Neurospora crassa OR74A: one gene and its partners. The protein of the gene in region 7 binds, or shares a complex with, the protein of the main gene of each other region. Links are inferred from orthologs where the notes say so. Each region holds a gene or a part of one and is shown on either strand. Other genes may lie near its edges.

What was found.
Region 1: NCU00564 (region 7) and NCU03343 share a complex: the UniProt entries of both Saccharomyces cerevisiae proteins name them as parts of the mitochondrial small ribosomal subunit. The link is inferred for Neurospora crassa OR74A from reciprocal best matches to the Saccharomyces cerevisiae genes MRP2 and RSM25.
Region 2: NCU00564 (region 7) and NCU05717 share a complex: the UniProt entries of both Saccharomyces cerevisiae proteins name them as parts of the mitochondrial small ribosomal subunit. The link is inferred for Neurospora crassa OR74A from reciprocal best matches to the Saccharomyces cerevisiae genes MRP2 and MRP17.
Region 3: NCU00564 (region 7) and NCU01761 share a complex: the UniProt entries of both Saccharomyces cerevisiae proteins name them as parts of the mitochondrial small ribosomal subunit. The link is inferred for Neurospora crassa OR74A from reciprocal best matches to the Saccharomyces cerevisiae genes MRP2 and RSM27.
Region 4: NCU00564 (region 7) and NCU02951 share a complex: the UniProt entries of both Saccharomyces cerevisiae proteins name them as parts of the mitochondrial small ribosomal subunit. The link is inferred for Neurospora crassa OR74A from reciprocal best matches to the Saccharomyces cerevisiae genes MRP2 and MRPS8.
Region 5: NCU00564 (region 7) and NCU07386 share a complex: the UniProt entries of both Saccharomyces cerevisiae proteins name them as parts of the mitochondrial small ribosomal subunit. The link is inferred for Neurospora crassa OR74A from reciprocal best matches to the Saccharomyces cerevisiae genes MRP2 and RSM26.
Region 6: NCU00564 (region 7) and NCU08728 share a complex: the UniProt entries of both Saccharomyces cerevisiae proteins name them as parts of the mitochondrial small ribosomal subunit. The link is inferred for Neurospora crassa OR74A from reciprocal best matches to the Saccharomyces cerevisiae genes MRP2 and RSM19.

Annotation. Positions count from the first base shown.
Region 1 is NC_026502.1:1,033,998-1,037,746, reverse strand, and holds NCU03343 (mitochondrial 37S ribosomal protein RSM25), read left to right. Parts: upstream 1-1,330; 5' UTR 1,331-1,670; coding exon 1,671-2,056; intron 2,057-2,146; coding exon 2,147-2,483; 3' UTR 2,484-2,664; downstream 2,665-3,749. Other genes in the region: NCU03342 (hypothetical protein), read right to left, coding at 1-718; NCU03344 (hypothetical protein), read right to left, coding at 2,665-3,678. UniProt on the Saccharomyces cerevisiae protein: Component of the mitochondrial ribosome (mitoribosome), a dedicated translation machinery responsible for the synthesis of mitochondrial genome-encoded proteins, including at least some of the essential transmembrane subunits of the mitochondrial respiratory chain.
Region 2 is NC_026503.1:613,957-618,184, forward strand, and holds NCU05717 (mitochondrial 37S ribosomal protein YmS16), read left to right. Parts: upstream 1-1,752; 5' UTR 1,753-2,014; coding exon 2,015-2,038; intron 2,039-2,174; coding exon 2,175-2,206; intron 2,207-2,468; coding exon 2,469-2,766; 3' UTR 2,767-3,465; downstream 3,466-4,228. Other genes in the region: NCU05716 (hypothetical protein), read left to right, coding at 257-330, 383-1,071. UniProt on the Saccharomyces cerevisiae protein: Component of the mitochondrial ribosome (mitoribosome), a dedicated translation machinery responsible for the synthesis of mitochondrial genome-encoded proteins, including at least some of the essential transmembrane subunits of the mitochondrial respiratory chain.
Region 3 is NC_026502.1:2,520,006-2,524,591, reverse strand, and holds NCU01761 (hypothetical protein), read right to left. Parts: upstream 2,839-4,586; 5' UTR 2,635-2,838; coding exon 2,596-2,634; intron 2,539-2,595; coding exon 2,330-2,538; intron 2,266-2,329; coding exon 2,207-2,265; intron 2,145-2,206; coding exon 2,125-2,144; 3' UTR 1,586-2,124; intron 1,494-1,585; 3' UTR 720-1,493; downstream 1-719. Other genes in the region: NCU01760 (pumilio-family RNA binding repeat protein), read right to left, coding at 170-298; NCU01762 (nucleolar RNAse III), read left to right, coding at 3,101-4,159. UniProt on the Saccharomyces cerevisiae protein: Component of the mitochondrial ribosome (mitoribosome), a dedicated translation machinery responsible for the synthesis of mitochondrial genome-encoded proteins, including at least some of the essential transmembrane subunits of the mitochondrial respiratory chain.
Region 4 is NC_026501.1:8,605,540-8,609,573, reverse strand, and holds NCU02951 (mitochondrial 37S ribosomal protein MRPS8), read left to right. Parts: upstream 1-1,541; 5' UTR 1,542-1,976; intron 1,977-2,072; 5' UTR 2,073-2,332; coding exon 2,333-2,818; 3' UTR 2,819-3,271; downstream 3,272-4,034. Other genes in the region: NCU02950 (hypothetical protein), read right to left, coding at 1-593, 661-827, 905-942; NCU02952 (hypothetical protein), read right to left, coding at 3,535-4,034. UniProt on the Saccharomyces cerevisiae protein: Component of the mitochondrial ribosome (mitoribosome), a dedicated translation machinery responsible for the synthesis of mitochondrial genome-encoded proteins, including at least some of the essential transmembrane subunits of the mitochondrial respiratory chain.
Region 5 is NC_026501.1:6,129,272-6,133,871, reverse strand, and holds NCU07386 (Fe superoxide dismutase), read left to right. Parts: upstream 1-1,799; 5' UTR 1,800-2,069; coding exon 2,070-2,331; intron 2,332-2,712; coding exon 2,713-3,383; 3' UTR 3,384-3,844; downstream 3,845-4,600. Other genes in the region: NCU07385 (hypothetical protein), read left to right, coding at 1-1,276. UniProt on the Saccharomyces cerevisiae protein: Component of the mitochondrial ribosome (mitoribosome), a dedicated translation machinery responsible for the synthesis of mitochondrial genome-encoded proteins, including at least some of the essential transmembrane subunits of the mitochondrial respiratory chain.
Region 6 is NC_026502.1:3,811,089-3,815,147, forward strand, and holds NCU08728 (mitochondrial 37S ribosomal protein RSM19), read left to right. Parts: upstream 1-1,603; 5' UTR 1,604-1,982; coding exon 1,983-2,025; intron 2,026-2,125; coding exon 2,126-2,141; intron 2,142-2,442; coding exon 2,443-2,622; intron 2,623-3,084; coding exon 3,085-3,121; 3' UTR 3,122-3,373; downstream 3,374-4,059. Other genes in the region: NCU08729 (transcription initiation factor TFIID 23-30kDa subunit), read right to left, coding at 3,905-4,059. UniProt on the Saccharomyces cerevisiae protein: Component of the mitochondrial ribosome (mitoribosome), a dedicated translation machinery responsible for the synthesis of mitochondrial genome-encoded proteins, including at least some of the essential transmembrane subunits of the mitochondrial respiratory chain.
Region 7 is NC_026501.1:7,986,257-7,989,773, reverse strand, and holds NCU00564 (mitochondrial 37S ribosomal protein MRP2), read left to right. Parts: upstream 1-1,583; 5' UTR 1,584-1,788; coding exon 1,789-1,895; intron 1,896-1,976; coding exon 1,977-2,148; intron 2,149-2,266; coding exon 2,267-2,329; 3' UTR 2,330-2,685; downstream 2,686-3,517. Other genes in the region: NCU00563 (hypothetical protein), read right to left, coding at 29-144, 210-277; NCU00565 (lipoic acid synthetase), read right to left, coding at 2,836-3,131, 3,193-3,517. UniProt on the Saccharomyces cerevisiae protein: Component of the mitochondrial ribosome (mitoribosome), a dedicated translation machinery responsible for the synthesis of mitochondrial genome-encoded proteins, including at least some of the essential transmembrane subunits of the mitochondrial respiratory chain.

The DNA of each region.
Region 1 (3,749 bases), on a different chromosome or scaffold from region 7:
AAGGATCGCGAATGAACTTGAGGTAGTCTTCGACCGTTCCATCTAGATCATGATAGGGATCTACCAGTTCAAGCAGCTCTTCTTTGGTGAGATGACCGAGCTTCGCACTGTGGGATTCGGGCAGCTCTTGTGATTGTGGGTTTGCGCCCGAGTGGGACTCGGTCGATAGATCGTCATGTAGCGCGGATGGGGCCGAGAAGACAGAGTCGGCGGGCTTCTGATCGGCACTGGGTTCGGGGGCAGCTGCGGCAACGGGGTCAGGGACCGGGGCTGCCGCCGCCGCCGCCGCCGCCGTGTGGCTCCGCTTTTGGGGAGCAGAGACCGAATAGCGGAAGAAGTTGGAGTCGAGTGCTCGTCTGCTGTTCGTGCCGGACAGACTGGTGGGAGTTACCCGCAGGGATGGGGTGGTCAGTAGCGGGCAACCGGTGGAGCCGCCTATGGGTCTCCTCGCGACCCCATCGACAAGGCCACCACTTTGTGAGCTCCAGCTGCCGTGGAAGCACCGTCGTTGTTGTACTGGGCCGAGGCCTGCTGTCGCAACCTGTCTTCTTCGTCCGCTGCCTTGGTCACCGAGCTGGATGGATGCTGTGGTTTGCGACACGGAACTGGTGGCAGCAATTGCGGTTGCGGAGGCGGCAATGGCAGACCAATTCCACGACGGACGATGCAAGAAGATGGTGCCGCATATCGACCCTTCAAATCGGCTGGAGACTTTCATGAGCTGCCGCCGTCCAACATGATGGCCTGCCCATTCAGCCAACCTTTTCTTGCCTGTTCCCCGCGAGTGTCGGCCGCAATTCGATGAAGAAGAGCTCAGAGAAGACGCAATCACAAGCTGCTGGCTGCTGCGCACTCGATTGGCACTCGATGCAATCGCGGTTACTGGCGAATTGGATCGTACTCAGGTCGATGTGGTCAGGGCGTCAGATTCGTGGAGGGCGGGGAAGTATGGGGAGAATGGGGAGAACTCGAGTCATGAAGTGAGGAGGGATGTGGCAGGAAACTGGGGTCGGGTGAGCGACGCGATGATTGAGAAAAAGTTGGGGTAGTGTAGTGGTGTACACTACAATACATGGACGAGGCACAGCTCCAGGTACCTTGCCGTGAGCACACCCCACCCCTGCCTCTACGAAAGAGGGGAAGCTGGAATAGGGTCCAGTCTCGGCCGGGCTCAAGACCCCCACTTCTGTTATCGATAAGCACCTAGCTAGGTACTTCCCTTCCCTTTGGTCGCTTAATGGCGGGGCGGGGAACTATTTTTTTTTTGCCGGCACGTCCTTCCAATTGCTCGCCCGCTCGCGGCAGGCAGGACAGCAGGTCGCGCGGGTTACCGGCAACAACTGAAGGTCGTGTCGGATCGTGCCTGTCTCCAAAAGGCACAGCTCCACTTTGGACAAAGCTAAGCAAATAGCGATAACGATAGGTTTGGCGGGTGAGGGAATCCATTGTGCCTACGCAGCGCAGCGCAGTGTATTATTATTACCTTACACAGGTATACACACCCCGTAACCTCGTAGCCTTGCCTTTGCCTTGGGAGGGTACCTGAGGAACGAAAGGACCGCCGAATCCGCCAATGGTCCTCTGATCTCAGCCAACACCACCGCTGCCGTCGATTATCACCAGTAATTCCCTCCACAACACCCAAACGCCGCCAGCGACGACCGGACAAGATGGGCAAGGGGCGCATCTTCCAGGCCGCAAAGGTCTACCAGAGGGCCAGCGAGGCTGCTGCCACCAACATCGTCTCTGGCCTGCCACCACGGAACCCACCACTGTGGCTCAAGGCCATCGAGTCCATCCCTCCCGCTGAGATCAACACCAGACCGTATCCGATCCAGCACTCTCCGCCGAACCCGCGAGCGCGCAAGCCACGCAACCTCTTTAGGCCCACCAAGATCGTCTATCCCGAAGATGAGTTGCGCCGCGACTTCTACCGCGACCACCCTTGGGAGTTGGCCAGGCCTAGGATGATTATCGAGTTGGATGGCAAGGACGCCCGTTTCCTTGACTGGTCCAAGGGCCTCAGGCAACGCGGCATCCCCTTGTCCGGCGAGAGGTACGTTGTTGGATGAGCGCATTGCACATGGCGCAAAAGCCCGGCGGACAGGCATGGAAATTGGATGCTAACCCGAATCGCAAACGATAGTGTCGTTCAACGTCAGCTCTGGCTTATGGAGAATCAAGGCATGACCAAGCAGGAAGCCTACGACAAGGCGCGCCACGAGTTCTACAAGTTGAGGCAGTTGGAGCAGATGGAGCGCAGGATAGCCGTCGAGGAGGCCCGCATGGTTGGTGGCTACTTTGGCAAGGACCTTCTGACGGTCGGCATGGAGCTCGAGAACAAGACGTATGAGAGTTGGAAGAAGTGGGCTACGACCGAGATCGCCCGCCAGGAATCTGCCAGGGCTTCCATGTACACCAATGTCGTCGACAACTCTGCGCTCGAGGAATCTGAGGAGGACGAGCTGCTCGCGCAGAATTAAGGCAACGAATTGGAGTAAAAGGGGAGGGACAGAGTGGTATAGCGTGGCTGATACCCATCCGTGTCGGGGAAAGACGATGCCGGCCCACTCGTGCACAAGTGTAAGAATATCACGTCTCTTTGTACATATAGAGAGGGCAAGAGACTTTGTAGAAGTACATGTGATTCAGGAGCCTGGTCGCCTATCTTCGAAGAAACCCGGCAGACACCGGCCCGATATACTGACTGCCCTTGAATATTTTCGCCAGACTCTCGTGCTGCACACCGACAACATCGGCAATGCCCGTTTTTAGAAACAACTTCCCCGTCAGACTCATCGTCTTGGACCTGGCCCAGGTCTCGATGTACACCACCTTGGCCCTGTTTTCGGGTACGAGGTAGAATATCTTGAGCAAGTGGGCCACCAAACACACAATAAAGCCGTTGGCAGGCCCATTTGTAACAATCACATGCGGGTATCTGAATCCCTTTCCATGATCCTTTGTTGACCGTGGGTTGGGCATCCGTGTGAGGGCATTGGCGGCATGAAAGGCGGATATGAGGCAGGTAAAGGGTGCCGTATAGAGCGGTTGATGGACCTTGCGCGCACGGCGGATTAAGAAGATATCAGAGGTGCCTGCTCGATCATCTTCTCCGGGATAGGCGTCCTTGATAGTCGCTTCCAGAAGGCGGGCCTTGCCGAGAGAGGAAGTGTCTCCGATGGAGATGATGTACCGCCGGTGGATGTTTGCCTGGCCGCGAAATGACTGCTTGATGGTCTCAATCATCTCAGCAGTGTGTCCACCAGAGCCAAGTATATATGTGAAGTAAATAGCAGGAAGAGAGGTGGTGTTGGGAACTTGTGTGCCAGCGGCATTGGGTTGGGGCGTATTGCTGGGGACGAGCCAGCTGCCACCTGGCTTTTGACGCCGGCGTATCATTTCAAAGTGCCGGTAGACAATAAAGGTACCAAGCACTATCCCGACGGTGATGACGAGGGAGATGAGCCATAGCCATGATAGACCAGAGAGGAGAAGCCCGGCTGCGGTGGAGGATGCTGCACCCGCAACAAAGGTGGCTGCTGTCAAGTTGATGCCGCTCACAGTCTCAACATGTAACTGAGAGTAGCTCTCAGCTCTGGTGTCGGGCTTTAGCTCTTGATCATTGCGCGATTCTTCCTTGCCCGCCAGCACGGACGCTGAAGTAGTAGGGGCCATTCTAGAGAGCCCCAAAGGTCTCTTCAAAATTCTATTGGTATAATTAGTTTCACATTCTTTGAATATGGAGT
Region 2 (4,228 bases), on a different chromosome or scaffold from region 7:
ACAATCTCACTCCCGATATCCCCAAACGGCGGACAACGTGCCTGGGTCTCTTCAGTTGCAGGATCTTCCGTCTACAAAAACTGTCCTACCGACTGGCAATGGGGAGTTGGGTCCACGCATAGATCCCAAGGGAATATCCACTTCATCCTTGGAAAATGCGCCGGAATTAGAGTCCGTGATGGCTTAAGATGCCTTGCTTATTATTTTCAAAATTTATCAGGTTGGAAACGGAAGACTAACCTTACTTCGACCACAGGTATATGAATGATCGGGAAAGGAAGCGTGGCCCAGATGATGCGTTGAATCAGTTGTTCGACCGTCTGGTCGGCGGTATGTCTCTTTGCCCCTGCCTCTCATTCCCCTCGAACTAACATCGATACAGACGAGGACCGAGCAGCAGCAGGAGCCGGAAAACCCGTCGAGGCCATCGGCGCCGAAGCCGCCCAAGCCTACATCTCCTCCATGGGCGCCAATATCGAAAACGTTGAAGCTTTTGTGGTCCTTGAGATCGTCCGCGCCGACTCCATCGGCCAAATCACTCGCCAGGGTTTCGTCGAGGGGTGGTCCTCCATCTACCTCGACCACCGCATTCCCGCAGACCCGGCCCACCACAGAAACTACGTCCGGATGTGCATCCAAAACCTGCCTCAAAATCCGGCCTACTTCAAAAAAGTCTACCAGTTCGCTTTTGGCCTGGGTAAGGAACCTGCCCAAAAGGCACTGGAGAAGGACGTTGCCTTGGTATTCTGGGATTTGTTTTTGGGCACCGAGTCTTCAGATACAGGACTAGGACCGAGGCCGTGGAAGAGCAAGAACGTGGATTGGCTGGGTGCGTGGAAGCGGTTTTTGGCGGAGAAGTGGACGAGGAGCGTCAACAAGGATATGTGGAACCAGACGCTGGCGTTTGCGGAGAAGACGATGGTGGATGAGACGCTCGGGTTCTGGAACGAAGACCAGGCGTGGCCGGGCGTGATTGACGATTTTGTGCTTTGGTGCAGGGAGCAGGGGATTGCCAAGGCGCCTGCACCGGGGGCAGCAGGAGGGGAGGGGATGGATGTTGAGGATTATTAGAAAGTTGGTCATGAGCATCCGGGGAAGGAGTGTAAAGGATGAAGTCAAGTGGGTGGATGTGGTTATACGGGGGGGAGCATATGAGGATGTTGGTGAGGACTCTTTCGCCTTGGCGCAGGGAGGATAAGAGGGGCAAAGAAGAGAAGCACTGATGGTCATGCTGTTGCCAGTTGATGCTGGGAGGGCTTTCGGGGCTCTCATGGCGGTTATCATCTTGTTGAGGTTGCTGCCATGGTGGTCAAGCGGCGCATCGAAAGATCAGAGGTTGGTTCGCAAAGAGCAAAGAATACATTTACACAGCGCATTTCCAGATACACAATACCGATAAGAGCATGCATTTACAACATGAAGGCCATTCAAAGGTGTATGAAGCGGTTGGGAATGTTTTTAGAACAAGTCTGATTTCTCATTGCTTCTAGACCACATTATAACCCTTTAGGAACTTTTAAAACAGCTTTTCTGGAGGACCATTACACCCAACAGATGTCTCTACAATCACCGAGGTGACAGCTGAAGAGTCGAGTAAACAACCTCTCTCCCACCCACCCTTGATGAAGTGTGTACACCCCTATCCGGAAGGCGGTCAACGCGGCAGAATCTCGACCTTCTTCCTGGACCCCACAAAAATTTCCAAGCAAGCGGCGGCACCCGGACGCCCACTCGCAACCAACCCGCTGCGGCACTGCGGCAATGCGGCACTGCTGACGGCAACACCCACCACACCCTACAGTACTTGCTGAGCCCGGTCACAACAGCAGCCACAGCGGTACCTACTGTGGGGCTCCGAACTTCTTATCGACGTCCAAGGTTCACTAGGTAGTACTATACGCGCTTTCGGCCGGTCGCAATCGCATCGCATCGCATCGCGAAACTAAACTTCTTTTTGCGTTCGTTTCTTTCCCCGAACCGATTGCCCGCCGCCCAGCCCAAACTACCAGACAGGATGTTGTATGAGACTATTGGTATTGTGAGTTACCCTAGGGTTGAACTACAGGAGCAGGTTAAGAGATTGGGGGTACAGAAAAGGAAAGGAAATGGAAAGGGAATGGGAGAGGAGAGAGATGGAAAGAGACAGTCTTGCTAATGATTGCACTTGTGAACAGGTCCGCCCGGGCAACATCGCCGAGGTGAAGGAGTATGTTTTTTTCCCCTTCTCTTTGTTTCCACTCGATAGTCCGTCCGACTTGAAGAAAACTCCCTCCGTCTTTCCTTTCCCTTACGAACCCGACCCGACCCGAACCGACCGATCTTTCTCTTGTCTTCTCTTCTACCACATCATCCACGACCCTACCTACCTATCACCCCGACTCCGACTCCGAACCCAACCCAACCATCCCATCCTCTACCAACCTTCCACACCTCGTCGTACTAAACAAGAACCAATAAAAAAAAAACAGACTCGTCCTAACAGCCGGCAAACTCATCCTCAACCAAGGCGGCGTCATCCGCGACATCAAGAACTGGGGCACGTTCCTGCTGCCCCGTCCCATCTCCACCAACCAGCAGCGCCATAACCGGGGCCACTACTTTGTCATGCGGTACGACGCCAGCATCGCGACGCACGAAGAAGTCCGACGCACCATGAAGGCCGACCCGCGCGTGATCCGCACGGCGAACGTGAAGTTGGGCGATGGCAAGCTGGAGACGCTGTCGAGGTTTGGGGCGATTCCTTGGAGGAGTTTAGAGGAGGCGTAAATCTGTATCTTCTGGACGGAGAGCAAAAGAGGGGGCGGGTGGGGGGGGAATGTGTACGATGGATGGACAGATGGATGGGAAATAATGAATCGAGTCGAATCGAATCGACATATATCCATCCCATCTCCTTACCGGCTTGTGTATACCAAAAGGGCCGTGATGAAGCAGACCGGACAACATATATGGACGGATGGATGGCAGGCATCTTTATACCTTCTTACCTCCGTCGACAGCAACAATAAAAACGACCGAAACACCCACCAATAACGATCTGGGCCTTCGATGAGCAATGGTACATCGTGAACGCACGACACCTGGATAGCAACATGGGATACATACATACAGACAGGCAGCATACGTATCCGAAATCTTCATTGCGAATGGGTTGCGGAACCATCCATACCCACTCAGGTTGAAGGAAGGAGGAACCTGACTCCTTTTCGACCCCGTTAATGGATCACCGTCGTCGATCAAGAAGTTCTGGCGTGAATTAGGGTGCACTCGAAACGGTCAGAGTATCATATCAGTCAAGCCAGCTAGAGAACAAACTCCCGGACCCGTCTTTGTTCATGTACGATAACGCATGTGGAATGTGATCCGCTAAAGAATACGACGCCATATTCAGATTCCTTAAAGCAAGGTAGTTCATCGGTCCCGGCTCAACAAGGATGGCTTGGGATTAAGAAACGTCAGACACGATCATATTAAAGTTACGGGTGATCTTTGAAAACTTGACGTGAGGGCTCTTCGCTCAAACTTCATCCTCGTTTCAGTTACCACACTTGTATGCTACACTACCTCCCCTTATCAAATGTAGTTGATCGATCCTCTCGAGTTCCCAGTTAAACACTATGATATCAGTCTCGCCAACACACGGCAACACACGGCAACAGAGGCATGTTCATATCACCAAGTCAACACACATCCAGAACCGGGGCTCACTAAAGTGAGATTTAATGTAAACCATCTCTATCAATTACCTTCCACTACTTTCACTCGGCTACCTAAATAATGAATCACTCCAGTCTTCCCTCTCTCTCTCTCTCTCTCTCTCTCTCTCTTCAAAACGAAAATTTTTCAAATCCAGTCTTTCCACCCACCATACCAGCAACGCCCGGAACAAGCAAGCAGTAAACTGACCACCACCACCACCACCACCATCACCAACCCCCTTGACGCTGCGTTTGTATCCTACCACTTTATCCCGGCGTTTAGACACAAAAGACCCGGTAGTGAATGCAAGGAAGAAAAAAAAGGAAACACAAAAAAACGAACAATAAGAAAAACATAAACTCCCAAACTCCATACCAACCAGCACAACCGCCTGCAGAAGAAAACCAGGAAAGTCAGGAAATGCAGTAAAACCACGATCGGCCGATCTATGGATCGAGGCCACGCAAACCAAGAGTGCCGTGAAGCAAAACATCTGGAGCAGAAGAATGAGAAAAAACAAGAAAAGCAT
Region 3 (4,586 bases), on a different chromosome or scaffold from region 7:
CCAGTCCGCTGTAATGATTTTCGTCCCGAGTGTGTTGCAGTTCGTCGCCGTCTGAGGGCTGGCAAGGTTCTGACGACCCGGCGGGAGGTGAGGGCAGCAATTTCCCAAGACCCAAAAAAAGAACCTGAAACATGCAACTGAATACGTAACATACAACTAGAATACATACCTGCTGCAAGTTGGGAGACATCAACTCATCGGGAAGCTTCGTGTTCTCGTCCTGAGACTGCGAGAAACTCCTGGAAGCCGAAGCACGGCGCTCGTTGGGCGAGCCGGTGGATGCTGCGACGGCAGACATGGTCGTCTGCTGAGGGCTGGATGTTGAATGACCTAGCCTGAGGGGATTGGAGGGATGCTTTGGGTGCTGGTGTTTCACAATGGGAGGAGATGCTCAAGATGGTGATAGAGAAAAGCAGTAGATTTGGTTCCAATGGCGACGAAAGACACAGATAAATAGAAGCTTGGGGGCGAGATGACCACAAACCGCTTTTGAGAGAACACGGTTGGTGATGGCACCGACAAGAAGATGCAGAAAGAGAAGAAGCCTTAGAAATATGTGTTGATATAATGGGGAAAAGAGAAAGAGCTCCAAGAGCTGGTCTGGGACGGAAGAAAGAGTGTAAATGTGCCCGAGATACCCGTACTTTCAGCTACAGTTGCCCTGAAGTTGGACCTTCTCGCAAGGCAACAGCAACAAACCTCTTGGTGACGATGGACGCACCGGTCAGAATAGGGCTAGAGGTAGGTAGGTACCTCTAGGGTAGGTATGAGCCCGGGATGACCGAGACTAAAGTCGAAATGGTGGACCCTTGGCTCCCGAGGGAGGAAGGCACGATGGAACTGTGACCGGGACTGCCCAGGTGTCACTGCCCGGACACTCCAAGCAAAAAGGGGTTCACGATGCCTGTGAGATAATCCGCAATCTCTGTGATCAAAGCTCACTTGGGCTGCCATCAGATGATCTGACGAGTGAACGCACATCGGCTCGTCCATCCGAAGATCGGAATCGAATATGATGAGTCGCTGGGGAAGTTGCGACCGGTATTCCAGCTAACGATCATCGGCCTTTGGCGTCGTGCCTCCCGTCCTTGTGCCTAGCGGGATCCTTATCACCAAGCCGAAGTTTTTCACGTGTCGCGGGGACGTCGGGCATGATGGTCAACCGAGCCAGCGATGAGACATCCTGCCGCGTTAAGGACCTTGCTGTCCGGCTGCCACTTCCCATACGATCAACGGGTTTCTGGGTTAGGCGTCCGAGCCCCAATGACATATTCCGAGTTCATTAGGCGGTATTCATACCTAGGTGTTCATGTCACCTGCCATTCGGTGTGATCTACCATTCTTCGTCGGAATGAAAATGAGTAGAGTAGGTAGGGAAGCATGCAACGTCTGGAAGCTTCAACAAGACAGCACCATCACCTAGCATCGTGGACATTAACAGATAGGAGTGGCGGGTCGGCTTTTCTCGTCCGGTAGGGCTGGGATGCCAAGGTCTTTGCAAATTATGGTAGGTGTGATTAGCTTCCTTTCCTATCCATTTTTATTTTGGAAAAGGCTTGAAATGGAGCAGGAAGAGCCAGCGCACCTTTTCACATTCATGGCGTTCTTTGACATGGACGGCTTGTGCAAAGATCTTGGGTGATCCGACACTCGCTTGTTGTTTTCACCCAAATGATCAAAGCTGTTCGTAAAGAGGGACAATGGCGAAGGGTCATATCCTCCCTCAAGCCCATCCGCGCTATGGAATCAAGATACGGTATCTTCAGCTTATCAACAGGCGCTTCTTTGTTCGATGCATCAAGAGACTTGTGTAGACGCATGGGAGGACAGTCCCGAGATGAACCTTTGACAAAGCTGGTAACCACAAACCTGCTTGTCGAACTAGGCGGCTATTCAACACCATTTGAAGGGGCAAGTGCCGCGGGCGTCGCTAACCATATGTACAGTTGTGGCAGCACCTCGTCACGGGGAGACTGTGATGGCATCAAGTACTGAGCGGAAAAATGCATGTCGAAATGGACCAACTGCCGGAGGAACGCCAGGTATTCGGGGTATATGATTCTAGTCCGCCCACTATATGATACATGTACACGTCGTGTAGTTCTGATTTCGGGACGCCGTGTCTTATTTCTTCTTCTTCGCATCTGTCGCAGAATATGAACGTTAGAGATTTGAACCGTGAGTAAGAGGTGCAGACGAAACCCACCGGCCGCCGAGGGTGCCGTTCTCTTCTTCTTGGGCGCTCCCTTGTCGCGGGCTCTCAGACTGTAAGGTATGGTTAGATTGTGATGTTTGCAAGTAAACACTAGCAGGAATGAGAGAGACGAACGCTGCCAAGTGCTCCAAACGATCATCATCGACCTCATCGTCAACCTCGAGACCAAGAGTACCGAACTCCTTTTGAAGCTCGCGAATACCGACGTTCTTGCGGGGGTAGTAGGTCGCAAGTGCCGGGCCCTTGAGTCGCTGACGCAGGATCTTGTTACCGGTCCGGATGCCTTCGGGATTGAAAGTCGTCGAGAAGAGCTCGCAACGAGCCTAGGTATAACCTAGTTAGCGAACTGGTTTTTCCCCTCATTCGGAACTGTTCCATACCTTCACAAGTTGCAGTAACCGCGCCCGTGGGACCGACATCTTGCCGTTACATGGAATTGCGGATTCGCGAATTCTAGAAACAGCAACAACAAGAGCCGCCGGATTGTTCGACGTCGTTCAGAGATCTCCCGCTCCAGCCCGTCAAGCAATGCGCCACCAATCATAACCATTCATGGGTACAAAGAGTGGGGCACGGACTGCAACCGTTGTTTTCGAGCCGCAGTGTCCCCGGGCCGTCAGCGCAAGCCCGCTGATGAAGCCGAGGGCGGCGCGTTCCAGGGCTGACAGGCGCTAAGAATGACAGCTACGGGCCATAACAGGGCAGCAGCAGCGCCCTGATGTGGATCTGGGGTCGAACAGGGGGTTAGGGTTTCCACTACGCAATGGCCCGGGATTCGTTCTCATCTTGAAGAATCCGTTTTCGATTCTGCCTCTACAATTTCATCGCCGCATCAACGCGCGATCTGAGGCATTCGGATTGCTTGTAGGAAAGTACAATCTTGCCATGCCGAAACACGGACCCACCCCGGAGGAGGTATCAGAACCGCCCTCCAAGCGTGCGAAGTCAGACTCTGCACCATCCGCATCACAAGGCGCTACATTGGAGTCCGCAACCTCCGTCCAAATTCCTTCTTTGCATGCCAATACCAAATGGACACTCGCTACCATCCAGAGAATGCGGCCACCGCTCCCCGACATTCTGGACCCGGCACTCAAAAAGGCGGCGCTCACACACCCTGGTAAAGCTAACAACGACCCTGTTGCAAGTTATGAGAGGCTGGAGTGGATTGGCGACGCTTATCTTGAGCTCATCGCCTCCTCCTTCATATATCAAACTTTCCCGACCTTGCCGGCTGGCAAAAGCGCACAACGTCGCGAGATGCTTATCCGCAACACCACACTAGGCGAATTCTCGGTCTATTACGGCTTGGACAAGATGGCCGATATCCCGGAAGAATTCAACATGGAGGGCAGAGTGGGCGGTACAAACGCAAGTCAAAAAGTCAGAATTAAGATTCTCGGAGACCTTTTCGAAGCCTATGTAGGAGGCGTGATTCTTTCTGATCCTGCCAATGGGATTCAGCGTGCTTCAGACTGGCTCAAGGCCCTATGGGGCCCTCTCATGGCGGAGTACATCCGCGAGGAAGAGAAGAAGGCCAGGAAGCCGGAGCAAAAGCAATCCGCAAGTGGCCAGACACTCGACCCAAAGACAGTACTCGAAGCTACCATTGGAGCCAGGGGTGTCAAGATCGAGTATAAAGATCTCCCTTCCAAAAACCTGAAGGACAGGGGAACCAAGCTGCCTCTTTTCGCTATTGGCTGTTTTATGACAGGCTGGGGGGAGACCAACCTGCAACTTGGGCACGGAAGTGCTTTGAGCAAGAAGGAAGCTGGTCAGAAAGCAGCTCAAATGGCCTTGGATAACAAGAAGCTGCTCAAGAAGTTTGCGGACAAGAAGGCGGAGATGAAGGCCGCGCGGGAAGCCCAGCTGCAGCAGGCAGGAGTGACGTTCCCCTTGAAGGATCAGCCTTCGGCACAGGAAACCACTGGCGGCGTGCTGTAGCGACCAAGTACTGTTCGGTCTCATATGCCCCTGATCTTTAATACTTCGACACACCAACCATCACATGCCCGTAGTCTCGTGGTTTACCTCGGGCGTCGGCCATGAGAAGGACGCATAGCAGATGAATTAGGCCATTCATTACTACGGGTAAACGACCCGGGTTCAAGGGAGGACCAGGGACCGTTTCGTTTGCACATACGAAGAGAAACCACAACGAACAAGCTGTGGCCAAAGTCGATGATGAACCATCTTGTTCATCCACAGGTCAGCACCTCCTTTCATAGTTAGTAGAGATATCCATCAGGCATCTTCGGAATGTTATACCCCTACCTGGAGTGTTCGTTACTTTCAAAAATATGGAGGCTTATCTTGAATTCAGGTCTCACAAACCACTATGCTTTGACAACCCCGACTCCAAGGACAAAGA
Region 4 (4,034 bases), about 620 kb from region 7:
AGGCAGGCCTGGTGAGAAGGGAGTGGTCGCATCGTAGGCCAGAGTCTGGTGCAACGGGTTCACCGCGGCATCCTCTGGGGGAGGCGTCTTCTCGCGGTACCGTACGGGTTCGGCGGCAGGTGGCGCGGCTGGGTTATAGGCCATCGGAACAAATGCTTGAGGCGATGGTGTCGAGTGATCGTGGGAAGCAGACACTGCAGACATGGGCGGCGGAGCAAAAGACTGGATTGCGCCAACTTGCGGAGGCTGTGATAAAGTGGTCGGGGGTGTACCGTGGTCAGCGATTGCTGCCCTCTCGAGTTGCTGGACTACCGCGCTGACTTCGGTATCGTGCCGAGGTGGTGGTCCTGGCTCGTTGTGGACATCGCACTGGTGCGGAGGGAGCACACGTCGGATGCCATTGACGAATTGCAGAGCATCTTGATGGTTGTGAAAGTAAATGTCGAGCGAGTGAAGCTTGTAATGGTACTTGGCCTGATTGTGAGGGTCGTATGTTGGTAGATGCCACTCCTCGTAGCCCTCGACCTCGCCAACCGTCAAAGTTACAAGGCAGGTGTGGTTGTAATCGTACTCGAGATGGGTTTTGTCGAGGTCTGGCGACACATGATGTTAGCCTTCCCACTGTCGTCTCGAGCTCTCACTCTAAATCCTAATGCTTACAGCCATCGAAAGCATCCTGGTCTTCCCTTCCAGGTTGGTTCGCAATCTCCAGCCGTGCGCGGCCCAAGTTGGCATCTTCGAAAAGGTATACATAGGAGCCCTTGTCGAACCTGTGATGAGGCGGGTTATTTGTTGGAGGGCCGTAGAAGTAGTGAATATCACCAAAGCTATGCAGCGAATCAATCAGTCAGAATGCGCCCAGGAACTATCACCTCTTTATGGGATCAACGGAAGACAAACTTACAACGTGCCGACGTTCTCCTCTCCCTCACGGGCGGCCATCTTTTGTGATCAACGAACTCGCTTGAGTGAACAAACACAACAACACAACAACGGTAAAAAGGATTGAGAGAACTGAAAGACAGCAAACTTTCTCAGCTTCCCACCCGAGGGCTATCACGCCTAATATCAGAGATGACGGAACCCAAAGAAAACAAAAGCCACTCGGCTTCCGCGTCTTTGCGATAGTACCCTACCTCTTACATACCCTTGCAGGAGACCGTGGTCTGGTTCTTCACATTCGGCTCTCACTCCATGGCGCAATCAGCACACAGCCATCCAACCAGCGCGCACGATAGGTCGGTGATGCGACCCCTAGTGCCGGTAGAGGTGACCTTGCCTGGTGGTTGCATCGTCCTGGATGGTCACTGGATGGTCCGCCTGGGCGCTTAAGGTGGGATGCCAAGAAAGAAGCACGAGCAAGTCAATTGTCACACTCTCCAGTCCTTCTTTCACAATTGACGAGGAGGGAAAGGAGCGGGAGGGAAAGACAAGAAAAAAGGTGGGGTAAGCAGGATCCATCCTCAATAAACCTGGAGAGCTACCAAGAAAGCCCCACCGGACAGACACCTTCTGGTCTCTCTGGCGGAGGGACGGGAGGCCTTTCAGGGCAGCAGGGGTCTCTTTTGCAGTGACTTTCGTGCAAGGCACAGTGGAGGTCATTGCCCGAGGTCATTCACTCTTTCAACGCTCAGCCTGAGGTCTTTTCTCGAACCATCCCTGTCCGTCCTCCACACGGCCCCGGCGGCCAAGCAAACGCACGCACGCCCGCCAGCCCGTACGTAGTGCCGTACGGCAGAAGCGGACAGAGCAGCAGGGGGACAAAAAATCGGCAGCACAACTTACCTAACGGAGCCATCCCGATCGAGACCTCGAAACCGCAATTCGCATCCGGACCCCGTTGCGCGCCGCATTCGCGAGTCCCGAAACCTCCACTTGTTTTTACGGCTCCTCCGAAGTCCGAATTCCTCCATCACGACCACCGACCCGTGACGGCCACCCGACTGTGCGCAACAGCTACGGTCTCCCGATTGGTTGTGCGTTGCAATCTTCCTTTTTTTTTTTTTTTTTTTCTGTCCCGCGAATCTTCATCGGCACGCCTAGACTAACCTCAAGACGCCCCGTCGCTGCAGCACCGATTCCTCACCCGCATCATCCTTCTCTTCATCCCGCATCATCCTTCTCTTCATCCCGCAAGGTCCCCAGTTCGCCGCCGCATCTCCCGAGCACTTCTACACCGGACGGACCAAGCCATACCAGCCGATCGACCCGACGACTTACGCGACGACGGCCGACTTCTCTCTCTTTATAACCCATCACCCAGTGCATACCATTTTCTCTCTCTCTCTTCAGCAACACAAAAGTCCCACACGGGCATCATCAAACCTTCAAAATGGGCATTCAACAAATCACCAACATGTGCTCGCACCTCCAAAACGCCTCGCGCGCTCGCCTGGGCCTGACCTCCCTGCCCAACACCAAGTACAACCTCGCCCTGGCCCTGGCCCTGCACCGCGCAGGCTTCATCTCCTCCATCACGCGGGGCGGTCCTCACCCGCCCACGCCCGAGGCCCTCATGACCTACGAGCCCGAGCCCGTGACCAGTGCCAACGTGGCCACGCGCCGGTTGTGGGTGGGACTCAAGTACTGGAACGAGGAACCCGTCTTGAAGGAGCTGAAGCCGATTTCGAAGCCGTCGAGGCTGGTGACTGCCTCCCTGGAACAGCTGAACCGTGTGGCGAGGGGCTTTCCCGCGGGATACATGAAGGGGTTGCAGTTGGGCGAGTGTTTGTTTGTGAACACTGATAGAGGTGTGTTGGAGGTTAGGGAGGCAGTGGAGAGGAAAGTTGGTGGGCTGGTTTTGTGCAAGGTAAAATAGATGGGTAGAAGAAGAAGAAGGAGGAGGGTCTCAAGGATGGACGGTGGGGATAGGACATGAATTCGGTGAAAGGAAGGCATTGTTGGGAAGGAAGCGAGAGGAATAGAAGAAGAGGAGGAAGAGTCACCGCACTTTGGGAGGATCTCAAACCTGAACTGGAGCCAACCATTTCTGTGCGCAGTGTACGATACGGATGTGATTCCATTGTACACTAGACGACTTAGCAAGACTGGACAAACATGGAAAGGAATAGACATTGGCAAAGCAGAGCTCATCCTTGGTTCTTGCTATGTGAATATGAGGTATGAGGCCAAGAAAGACAACGAGCTGGCATCCTGTATGCTATGATCTATGCATGACAACTAAATCATCAGCACTCACCGTGGAAACAGATATCACCAAGATTGATAAGAAAAGGGATCGATTCATCCTGCTCCAGGGTGCTGTACAACCCACTATCTGCTATGCATTCATACTTCATGCTTCGCCAACTTTCTTACAAATGTGTGATTGGTCTTTCTACAAAGGTATCATGAAATGTGCTAACCCAGTAACACTGCATCCCCCTCTTTCACTGTCTCGAACAAGTAATAGGGGTGATTAAAAAAGACTCTACAGGCCAAAAAGCGATCACATCCACCATTTCTGGCTTCCTTTTACGAATCAGAAGTGTGCTTAAATTCCGAAGTGCTGGCAGACTTCTCCTCGCCGTGCTCCTAGATGTCAGCATCGGTGGTATCAACAACCTCGGCAGCGGACGAGGGGGCGGCTTCAGTCTCCTGGGCTGGCATCTCCTCCTTAACAACATGAACGTCAGAAGTGGGGGTTTGGGGAGCTTCCGTGGCTTCCTCTACCGGCTGAGCAACTTCTTGAGGAGTCTCCGTCACAGTGGGGAGGGGCACCTCAACAGCTTCTTCTGCCTTGGGAACCGGCTCAGCCTTGGCCGCAGCTGAACCAGCACGAGACTGTTTCGGTGTCGTAGCCGCAGATGGTGCTGCAGATTTAGTGGCAGGTTTTTTGGTCCGTGGCTTGCTGAGACTTCTCTTCGCGGCAGGTCCGGGCGTGGCCGATGACCTCCTGGGTGGCGATGTGACAACCTTCTCAGCGGTCTTGGAGGCGGATGCCGCGGTTGGACGCGTCATGCGTGCCAAAAAACCTTCGTCCACTTCCTTCTCCTTCTTCGTTGGCGGATGATCCTTCGCGGTCTGCTTCACAG
Region 5 (4,600 bases), about 1.9 Mb from region 7:
AATGGCTCCTCCTAGTATCGCCTCTCCGGATATTGAGAGCCTCGTGAGGCCTGTCCTCTCCGCCCTGCCAGGAGCGTCTGCGTCGACCGAGCCAGCTACAACAGTACTGCCCCTTCTTTCGCCCATTCTTAGACAGCGAGTACAGCTTCTTTCCGGCGCCAGCTCAGATCCATGGATCCGTCTTCTTACCTATGACACTTCGAAGGTCTCCAGACTCACCGAGATCGCCCAAAGCGGTAGCCTGGATCCCCATCCGGTATCGGGAGAAGTGGAGATAGATTGGGATTACGACGTCCACATCAAGTACAGGAGACCTGACCCCGAGACACTTCAGACCCTCGTGGTGTTGGGAGAGTTCGACCTGTTCATTCGTCTTGTGTACTGCGTCAACGACAAAGACGGTGGCGGCGACGGATGGCGTGTGGGCGAGGTCGGTGTAGCCAGCAATCCATCTCCCCTCGAATCCTTCCAGGGTCATGCTACACTCGATGAAGCAGAGAAGGCGTTCAAGGCCCAACAAATCTCTGTGCCAGAAACCAAACCAGTTGCCCAAGTATCCGTCCAAGCTGAACCGGTTGAAGAGGATGACGACGATGATTACTGGGGCCGATACGATGCCACGCCTTCCCAAACTCCCGGTCAAGGCCGCTCTCCTGCGCCGCCGTCCTTGGGCGCCGGCCTCAACACTCAAAAACCCCATCCCTTTGAGCGTAGTCCGTCCGCCGAAGATGCGTACTTCGCCCAATACGAATCCGTACAGCCAGCCATGGACCCCCATGATCCAGACGAGGAGGCCTTCCAGGGCGGAGCTGTGGGGGGTGGTGCACCGCTTAATGGTCTCCCCCTTCGCAGGTCTCCGTCGCCAAGACAACAGGCATATGAGCCGCCTGTCATCAAGTCCGCACCAGCGCCGCCGCCATTGGGCCTAAACGGAGACGGCAACGGCGGTTACGTTCCATCCCGATCACCCTCTGATAAGTCCGGTTCTGACTCAAGTGGCCGGCGCATGTCCCAGGCGGACGAGGAGAGGATGGAAAGCCTTGCTCATCCGCGCCCAGCCAGTAGCGCCAGCTCAAACGGATCCCGCATGGTGGCCAAGCTCGAAGAAACGGCGGAAGCGCAAGATCGAGTCGAGTTTGGAGTTAAGCAGCACGTCTCAAGGACGATTCGAAGTCTATTCCAGCTGTCACGCGGCGCTGGCATCAGTCGTGAAGAGTTCGAGCGGATGGTCAGGAACGAGCTTGATGTTCTTGCGATGGTGGAGGACGACGTTTGAATGACCAGGGAAGGAAGGGAAATTGATTCAAAGGGGGTGTCGGTGTTCACTGTTTATATTCCTCATTCTGTTCGGGATACTGCATCATCGGGTCGTTTTTGGCGTCAAGTAGTACTGGTGGGGGAAGTCCGGTGAGGGCGTCCAGTTCGCCTCGTGATTATTGTTAGTTGTTCGGACTTCGAGCAACGGCGTCCACGGAATTATTTTACAATAGCGTTACAGAATATCGGTCAAAGTACGATAATGAACATAGCACATACACGAGCAAAGTAGAGAAAGATGCCCAGTATCTGTGCACCAGTACATCATCGAAACGGTTGAAGACGCAAGTCAATGTGAACGCCAAGTACGGAACTCCGGAATTGGCAAACAGCTACCCCACCAAGGACGGTAGGTACCTCTCAATAACATCCAGGGTTAGGGTCAAACCTGGCTCTTTGCGAGGACGGTGAGGCTGCCGGCCGCCAGTTCGTCCCAACGATTGGTCCCTGCTCCAATGGCCGGGTCCTTCCGCAGCGGAGCAAAAAAAGTCTCGAAAGTCGCGTCCCACTTCGACCGTCTTCCGGGGTTGAGTGCCCGTGTGTTCTGAAGTGCGTCCGCTCTGCGCCGGCAGCCCGTCCAGTCTTGAAGTTGTCTCCGTCCGTCCTCAAGGTCCGCCCCCCACACACACTGTCCACCGTCCATCTCCCCCGACCGAACGACCGGCCGACCTTCCCTTCCACCGAACCTTTCCTCCGACCCCCGGGCCGTTTTCTTGCGGAGAAAGAGACCAAAAAAAACCCCAACAGACAAAATGATCGGCTCCATGGGTCTAAGGATACCCCGTGCGACAAGCTCGCTCCTCGGCCGTGCCGTCAACGCTGTCGCCACCAACCAGTCCGCCGTCGCCGGCGCCAGCATCGCCGCTCAAAGGAGATGGCAGCACTACCTCATGCCGCTTCGCGACAACTTCGAGCAAGAGGGCATCCGCAACTTCCTCAGCCCCGGCTCCGTCAACATGGCCTATACCGAGTACCAGACCTTCATTTTGGAGAAGCTTAACGCGCTTGTAGTAGGTACGTACGGATGACACAGCAACACAGAACATACTCGTCTGGGGAATTTGGTGTCGCTGCGTTATCATGTGGCACGGCATAGCACGGCATGGCATGGATGAAGGTTACGTGCGAGGATTACTGGCTGCGAGGAATTGGTATCCTTTGGTCGAAAACGCCAAGCTGGGATGCTGTTAAGCCTGAGAGGAAGAGGAGGCATTAGCGCAGTGGTTAGGCCACAAAGGAATTGGTGGAGGAAATAGAAGGAAGGGGACTCGGATTGAAGCTCAAGCCAGAGCATGCCCTGCCTATCCGGGGGGGAAGACATGATGTCACCTATTTTGCTGCATGGGAGATATCTAACCGACAAACCACTTTGCTTACTTCTCTTTCGTCAAACAGGCACCGACTTTGAGCAAAAAGACACCAAGTCCATCGTCCTCGCCACCGCACGCGACCCCGAGCTCGCCCATGTGTTCAACCACGCCTCCATGGCGCACAACAACCACTTCTTCTTCGACCACCTGTCCCCGGTCCCCGTCAAGATGGGCGACAAGCTATTTTACCACATCAACGAGAACTTCGGCTCCGTCGACACGCTCCGCGACGAGATGATCGGCACCGCCGTCTCCATGTTCGGTCCCGGTTTCGTCTGGCTCGTCCGCACCCAGCTTCCCGGTCAGCCCGTCGCCCTCCGCGTCATGGCCACCTACTTGGCTGGTTCTCCTTACCCGGGCGCCCACTGGCGCCGCCAGGAGATGGACGCCCAGACTTCCATCGGGAGCTCCCCCCAGGGCTTGAGCAACGGCCAGCGCTTCTTCGAGCGCAGCGCAGCTGGGTTCAAGGGCAACAAGCTTGAACCTACGGCTCCCGGCGGCACTGATTTGATTCCGATCTTGTGCCTCAACACGTGGGAGTACGCGTGGCTTCGCGAATACGGAACTGGTGTGGGTGGTATGGGTGGTAAGCTGGCGTATGCGCAGAGCTGGTGGAACATGATTGATTGGGCCAAGGTCGAGGAGGAGGCCAGGCTGGAGACTAGGATCTTGACGGGCGGTGATAGCTCTGTTTAGCCTCTTGCTTCCATTCTGCGGGGGAAGAGGAGGGAGGAGTGAGGAGGAATTGAAGTAGGAAGTGAAGCGGGAGCGTGAAAGCTTAAGCCTCGACTTTTTGGTTCTGAATTACTCGCGACTACTGGTCCATCAGTCCATGCCTGCCGCCGCCATCGACAGTCCGACGGCTGTCACCTTGTCCGAGGGGTAGAAAGAGCGAGTGGAACGGGATGGAGATGGATTATTGTACGGTTGCTGCCCAAGTTACTTCTGTGACTTTGTCTGTCTATATGGAACCCGGATATATAGGGAAAAGTTGTTCTGTACGATAGGATAGCATGACGGTGAGACCGGCCGGAAAAAGAGAAAGGAAAGTAAAAACCAAGCCAGCCCCGGCAGCTGCCATCTATACTTTTACATGTGTATATTACCAATGAACCAAATGTGTGTGTGTGTGTGAAAGAGGAAAGCAGGATAACGGCAACGAAGCAACAAACGGATAGGTCAAATGCAAATTGTAAATATAGCACTTTGAAAGATGGACGCACATTGTGACATCGACATCCAACCTTCTCTGCTTACTTGACCAAACTTTTTAGTACATCTCCTAAGGACCTCATACGGACCTACATGTCCGACTACTCCTTACTCCGCATGATGTCTGCTTCCTTCACGATATCAGCTCACTAGGTAACTACCACGACACATCAGCTGTTGAAAACATACCTGACCGCTGCCAGTTGTAGCCCTTCTACCTTTGTAGTTTCAGCCTCTGATTTCTCCTCCTTCGCAAGGCCTCAGGCTCCATGCCGAGTGATCGGTGACAAACTGAATCTTGACTATTGACTGTTAGGTTATCAGATTTGCCTGGCCGAGACCTCACTGGTTCGTTTCAGCGCGGTAGCTACTAAAAGTAGGTACGTAAACCGAGCACCGGTGAAGGACGGCAGAGTGAGTGTATCGGTGTCTCGATTGCCATGCCATGCCATGCCATGTCATGTCTCGCATTGGGACTCCGTACGTTGGATCCGGTCAAAGATTTGGTTCGAACTGGCTTTACTCACTCACGGTCACTCAATCGATGTGTAATGTCCCGGTTTTGAAACCACCCAAGTTGAGCACGAGGTAAAGCTCAAGGGAGGATCAGTCGAGATGATTCATTTTTTATATATAGAGGTATATATGTATATTGATATACATGCAACACAACTGTTGTTCTGACGAAATTTGATCTTTCT
Region 6 (4,059 bases), on a different chromosome or scaffold from region 7:
ATGCAGGACAGAAGCGTGACCAGTCAATTTTGGGAAAGACGACCTGCTGAATCCGTTCAGTGGAGATGGTGCCTGAGACGGCCTGGTTCAGTTCCGTGCGCGCGAGCAAGCTCAACGGTGGAACACTCCGACACGCAATGCTAACGAGCCAGTCGGCGTCTCGTTATGATGGTAGAATTACTCGTGGAGCACCATGCCGTTATAGTGACCGTTCAGCCCGAAAGAGGAGGGATCTGGAGAGCATTAGATCATGTGAAGAGACGGGTAACACTGATACTCAGGCACTCGTCCGCATTTGCGGTAGTCCGACAAGTTGATCAAGGCACACTCAGACACCCAGGGACGGGAAGTGCTCCCTACTAGTTTATTCCGGGAACGGTTGATCTTGATGGGTAGCTAGTGCAAACAATTGCGCAGCAGTCGAGCTGCTTGATGATGATGATGATGATGATGGAAGTTGGAACTCCATGGCTGGCTGGATAGTAAACAAATGCAGCCCTGTTCTCAGGTGGCTCGCGGGAAGAACGAATGCGGTGCCCTTCTCGGACTTTGCGCGCAGACTGGTGAACCGATCAAATGTTGATCAGACCGACCAGAGGGAGGGGGGGCATTCGTCTGAGGGCATCGACGATGCAAGCACACCCACAAATGCGCAAAACAAAAAAAAAAGAGTGACGGATGGTGAAATCCAAAAAGAAGGTCGTTGTGAACGCGAACGGGAAACCACGGCCAGATAGATATATTGACTGCGGTGGCGCTCTTGCCTAGACGAAGAATCCATGACGGCCCAGTCCATGCCCAGGCAAGGCAAGGCAAGGCACAGCACGGCAGTTCACGCCTGCCTTAAACTACCTACACTACGTCCTACATTGATGTACAAACATCATACATACTGTAGTGGTGGCGAGGTGTATGGAACTTGAAATGCTGAGGAAGGAGCAACACTGAAGAAGACGGAGTGCACGATCGATGTGAACCACTGAGCTGCAGTCAGGAATCGACGGACGCACGCCGGTTATCGGCCACCACCAAGAATGCCAATAGTCCGGAATCCGGGATGCTATGTTTTGGAGTATCGCAGTCGCGTTAGTCCTGAACCAATTGACGGCAGCACGGGCAGCAAGTGTCTGAGAGTGCCAACCAGTGCCGCCGGTTTGCTAAACGGTATGTAAGTCATATAATACTTGCTGTATCCTAGTTCGAGTAACACCAAGATTTCGGCCCCAAGTGCTGCTCGAGCAGGGGGGCTTGCCAGTACAGGGGTAGGTACCTGTAGGGTGTGGTGCACGAGTCACACCACCATAGCATTAGATTCAGCAGTATCGTGCATAGATTTTCTTCTTCTTGCGCACCCAAGAAATGCACGATAACACAAATTGGATGCTAATTGATCTTTGCCATCAGGTAGACCCCGCTTTCTCTGCTCACTAAGCAAGTGCCGTTTGACTGAAGATTTCCGTACCTCTCCACTGCAGGGTTGACATCCATCTGTATATTGACGGTAGGTTACCTTGACAAAAAGAGGTGTTTAGAGGGTTATCATCGTAGTGTAATTATGGGGGCGTTGCTTTTAGATATCGATAGACAGGGTTACCCGTGCAGGGGTTTTTGCTGTATCGATAATCGCTTTGATGAATGCCCCCTAACCCTGTAGAAGTACCTACTGCGTACATAGGTAGCCAGGGGGGAGAGTCAGCGGGGGCGTCCGTACTAGGTATGCCGGCCGGCAACCGATAAGCTTGGCAGTTCCAAAATTCGGCCGTGGTCAGCGCTCCCGTCACTGCCGCCGTCGCCGTGATACCTGGAACCGCTCCGCCCGCCCGCCTGCCGGACTCGCCGACTGACTGACCGACCGACCGACCGACCGACCGACCGACCGATTGATCTCAAGACCATCCGAGTGTCGCGTACGCGCCCGGCCTCTTCCCGCTATTTGCAGCCACCACCCATCACCACCGAATTCCTTCTCGTTCGCGCCCAACATGCAGCCAACAAGGGTTCTTTTCAAGAGATCCGTGTGGAAGGGTAAGTTATTTTGTTTTGTCTCCTCCTAAGCTTCACCTTGCGATAATGTACTCTTTGCGCCGTCCAAGACAGTCAAGCTAACCCGCATCGCCGACTCCAGGTCCGCACATTGTCCCGTAAGCTCTACTACCCCTTCCCCTCGTTTCTGTCCCCGCGATCTCAATGACGACGACGACGACGACGACGACGACGACGACAATTCAATGCGCCGGCGCACTCCCGAGGACTCTCTCTCCTCCCTGCTCCCGATCAAAGCTGCCGGCGCATGTCCATCATTCTCTACGAGCCCATCCCGCGACATTCCCCTCCATCCGCGAACCAACGCAGTCCAACCGAATCCAACCGCAACGCTACAAGCATAGTCACCTATCTTGAGCGCAAACGGGCACTAACCACCAACGCATACACACAAAACAGTCTCCCCATCCAGCGCCCCGAGCCCGGCAAGAAGATCGCTCCCATCCGCACCCAGGCCCGGTCCGCCACCATCCTGCCCAACTTTGTCGGCCTCAAGTTCCAGGTACACAACGGCAAGGACTACATTGACTTGACTGTCACCGAGGAGATGGTGGGGCATAAGCTTGGAGAGTTTTCTGCGTAAGTGCTCTTTCTTTCTTTCTTTTTTTTTTTTTTTGGTTCTTTCTTCCCCTACTTTCACTAGTCTACTTTTTTCCTTTCTTTTCCTTCTTTGACTATTATTTTTCAATTTCAATATATTATTTTTTTAAAGGGTCTTTTTTTTTTCCTTTTTTTTTTTTTTTTAAGATGGCGGCGGAAATGCCATAAATGTTGGCGGTGTGGGAAAAGAAAAAAAAAAAAAAAGAATTTTCCTACACAAAATTCAATGGTCTGACACGGCATGGCCATGGCATTGGCTGGTGGCAAGCCATGAATGGCTGGACGGGCGACATGTGTTGGACGCCACCACGGGATGATGATGATCGTAGGCGGTGGTGCAGTGTGGTCAGCAGAAAACAAACAACACAAAAGACACACATTGGGCATATGGACATGAACAATTGGACCGACACTAACTGAATGGTTCAAAACCTCAAACAGTACACGCAAGCCCTTCATCTGGGGTAAGAAGAAATAGACAAACCAAACTTCGTTCGTCTCTTCAGTGATGATGATGAAGAAGAAGAAGAAAAGAGAAGAAGAAGTCGATTGATTGATGGATGCGGGTTTGACACGTTTTTTCTGTGGGCGGCGTTTATTTCGGCAAAAAACAAAAAAGCATATTTTCGTTGCTTATCTGTATCATACCATACCATTGTCAGAGGAGGGCACAGGTTTCTGTACACATATCATATTTTGGGGCAAATTAGAACTTTCGCTTGGATTCATACTACTGTGCTGTGTCTGTTGTTTCAAGATGAACATGTATATGTTGTGTAGTGTGTAGTTTAATTATGCTTTGTAATTGATAAAAATATGCTAGTATCGCCAGGTATTATTATTTTTAGCCTAGACTAGTAGTCATAACGGGTTCACTGAGAGCAAACAGGACGATGGCAATCTTCCATAACGGCGCCTCCTGAACGCCAAGCGCAAAAAAAAAAAAAAAAAAAAAAAAAAAAGGAAAAAAAAAAAGGAAAAAGAAAAGAAGACCCGATGACCCCAAACCCCTTTTGCACCGTTCCCGTGTTGGACCCTTGATTGCCGACCCTTTGCCCATCCATCCATCCATCGATGCATCATCCTCTTGATATCCTCCTCCTTGAGCAAGTAACCACTTGTTGCCGCCCCTTTAAGATAGTATCATCCTTTGGTCTGCCATGCCACCATTCCGCTCACACTCAGGCAAACCACCCACCGTTTCCCCATCCCTTCTCATCAGTAGAGCAGACAGTCCTGCACCGTGACCGTGACTGCCCCCCTAGCGATAAAACTCGCTCCTCTTCACATTAACCCCAAACTCCCCTGCCGCCATGCCCAAATCCTCCATCGTCAGCACCGTCCTATTCTGGCTGCCACCCTGTCCACCACCACCGTACCCCGGCCTCTGGATACCCAACGGTCCACCTCTGCCCT
Region 7 (3,517 bases):
TGTAAGAAATAGGGAGTTTGTTACATACGGTCGAATGCGAAGCGCTGGCAGTCGTTGTACCTCGTGTTCTTGGTCGAGAAATACTTGAAGTAGAAGTCGGGGTCATGCACGTAGCGAACTTCATCTTCCTCGTTGATGAAATAACTATACGCACAAGATATATCAGAGTGAGTGTCGTGGGAAGGATGACTAGGCAGATTATCACGAACCTGAGCTTCTTGAGATCTGGGGCGAACTTTGGTTCAGCCGGAAGGCCTGACCAACGGCGACGAAACATCTTGTATGTTGGAAAGTCGTCGAGTTTCCTGGGTGCGTTGTTGTGGAGGAGTCAAAAGACGGTTGCAAGCGAGAGGAAGGATAGCCTAGAACGCTGATCGCGTCGAGGAGTATTTAAACACTTCGTTGCTTGGAGGATCGCGAAGAAACTCGAAGGCCACGGAAGCGGTTGAAGATGGGACGGAAGGAGCCCAGCAGTTGTTCTTCCCTTCTCAGGCACAGAACGAGATAGGCGAAGTCGGAGTACGGAATGGGATGATACTAACGAGCGAACATGAGAAGGTAAACAGACAACGAACGAGACACTCGACTCCCTCTCCTCAGATGAATGGCCAAACCGCGATGACATTGCAACCGTCAAGGTGTTGACATACTGTAGGGTCTCTTGCCCATCTCATCCAGACCTTCCCCATCCCATCATAGAGATAACTTGCTTGACAAACAATTTTCATAGGAAACAGTCGCACACAAACCGAAAGCCGCTTCAACATGCAGGTGTTTCTTTTGGCAGGCTCAAGGTTGCTGCAAACGAGAGCAATCATCCGTAGACTGATAGAACGTATACTGCTAAACACCAGCGATCATCAAAGGCATTGGTAAAGGGTGCGTCGAACGTACGAAAGTGGTGGTGGATGTGGTTGTCACATGCGAACGGCAGGCATCAACCTTTGCAACCCGTGAACAACGTATTCGGTAAGGTACGGGTGAACTTAACACACTCGTTTCGCATACGACAACTACATCTTTGGTAGGTAGAATGATTCGAAAGGCACCACTCAGTCAACCCATCCAAAACAATCCTTCTTCCTCACACCCCCAGCCTGTAGCCAGAGATTGCAACGAAAAAGTGAAGATGAGCACAAAGCAAGTAGTAGTGTTGAGTTCGCGTCGCCTGGAGGCAGTGTAATACCAGGGACACAGTGGTCGGCAACCATAGGCAAGCCCAGAGGGATGCCGACCGAGTTGCAAAAATTAGAATAATCACGATTCTACTCCGTAGAGCAGTTTCAGAGATTAAACTGAAAAGAACAGATACTACACTTGATCTAAGCCAAAAGGCAAAGAGAGCTAAAGAAAAAAAGAAGAAAAAACCAGGTAAAAATTTGGGAGGGGGGGCCAGTCTTAAATAGGCCCAGATGTGGCCTGTGCACGAGCTGCAAGCTTGAGAGTTTGAGTGGAGCCCCGTAGAAAAAGTGCCGTCCAGCTGGTGTGCGACTGGCACACCTGGCAAAGTGTTTGTTGCTGCTTGGTTTGGCGCTTGCAACCTGCGATGAAAATGACACCGCCCGGCAGAATTTGTCGTTCCGCACGCGGCAGGGCTGGACGGCAAGCGCACAGGCCACTGGCCGCCGTGGGAGCCGGGGAGAGTGACTGCGGCTAGCGGGCGACGACGCCGGAGGGAAGCAACGACTGCAGTGCCTGTGACATCGATTTACGCGCCTCGATCCGCCGCTATCGACGCCCATCTCCGACTCAGCCCGCCAATCTGCCCCAGAACACCAAACCGCCAAAATGTCCATGTTTCGTGCCAAGAAGCTCGACCTCGGGTGCTTCACCAACGTCCGGGTCCTTCGTGACCACTCCAAGCGCAAGGCCTTTTTGGAGGCCGAGCCTGAGAGGTAACTACCTACGCCTTGCGATCCTTATTTGCGACTATAATAAGCACAAACGATCTGACGACTCCTTGCTTTATGATACAGACAAGCCCTGCGTTACGTTATTCGCAACACCACCCTCCCTGCCCGTACCAGGGCCGTCGCCCAGCTCCAGCTCACCCAGATGCATGCCTACACCAGGCCCACGCAGATCCGGAACCGCTGCATCCTTGGTGGAAAGAGTCGAGGTATCTTGAGGGACTTCAAGATGACAAGAGTATGTCGCTATCGATTGCTTCAAAGAAGGAGTGGTGTCCTAAGAGCTGAGCTCCGCATGGGAATGATGGAAACCTGCAAAGGCGCGCGACTTGCTAACACTGTTGGATCGCAAACAGTACAATTTCCGTATGAACGCCCTGATGGGTAACATTCCGGGTGTCAAGAAGGCCTCTTGGTAAAAGAGAGCATGGCTACAAGGAACCCAGAGGTTTGTTGTGGTTTGGAGATGGTGCCGGTACGCCCAGAGGCGAATAAACTCTGTTCAAAACCCAGATGGGCTCGGGCCATCGTGTTGGTAAGAAAGTATCACTGTACGCAGGGTTTTTGAGATACCCGTATAAGTAAGTGATCGCATGATGAGGAGTGCTTCAAAAGCTTTTCAGTGGGCAGAGGGAGTTTGTATGATGCATCCTTTTGGACATGGGAATCTCTCTCCCGATGCCCGCTGTGTAGAATTGTTGTTACAATATTATATTCAGACACGGCAAACGAATGAATGTCTTTTTCAAAGTAATCGAAAGAACCAATCTCCCCTAACGCCAAAACGCATGCAACCCCCAAGGTGCCTAATAACCGATCCGTCATCCGTCTGTTATTTTGCCCGCCACAGGATAGCTGTGAAAGCCTAGATCCCGATTATAAATGTTGAAACACGCTCCGCAAACCACATCTAGCATAAGCTGCCTCAAGAGGACTGGACGCTAGTCGCCTCCTCGGCGGCAACCGCCTGACCAAGAGCCTCAGAGACAACCTTCTCGCCAGAGCGCTTTCTCAAGACGTTCTCGATGAAAGCCTCGCCGGCCTTGTATGAAGAACGGACCAGAGGACCACTAGCGCAGTACAGGAAGCCCATGTCAAGCGCACGCTGCCTCCAGAGCTCAAACTCGTCGGGAGTGATGTACTTCTCGACCGCGAGATGTCTCTTGGTTGGGCGCATGTACTGTCCAAAGGTAACGACATCGACGTCGACCTTCCTCAATTCTACAAAGCAACATCATGGTCAGCATCCATCAAATGGGCAAGCGCAATTGGTATGACTTACCCCTCAAAGCCTCCCAGAGCTCCTCCTCAGTCTCACCCAGACCAAGCATGATGCTGGTCTTGGTGATAATGCCTTCCTTGCCCCGGACCTTCTTGACGTGTTCCAACACCTTCAAACTCTGGCGAAATGTGGCACGGCGATCACGCACGTAAGGCGTCAAGTTCTCAACAGTCTCAACGTTATGCGCATACACATCCAGTCCGCTCTCCGCCACAATCTTAACCATGTCCAAGTCACCAGCAAAGTCACCGGTCAAGGCCTCGACAAGCAGGGTCGGCTTCTTCTGCTTGATCCGGCGAATCGTCTCTGCAAAGTGTCGGGCACC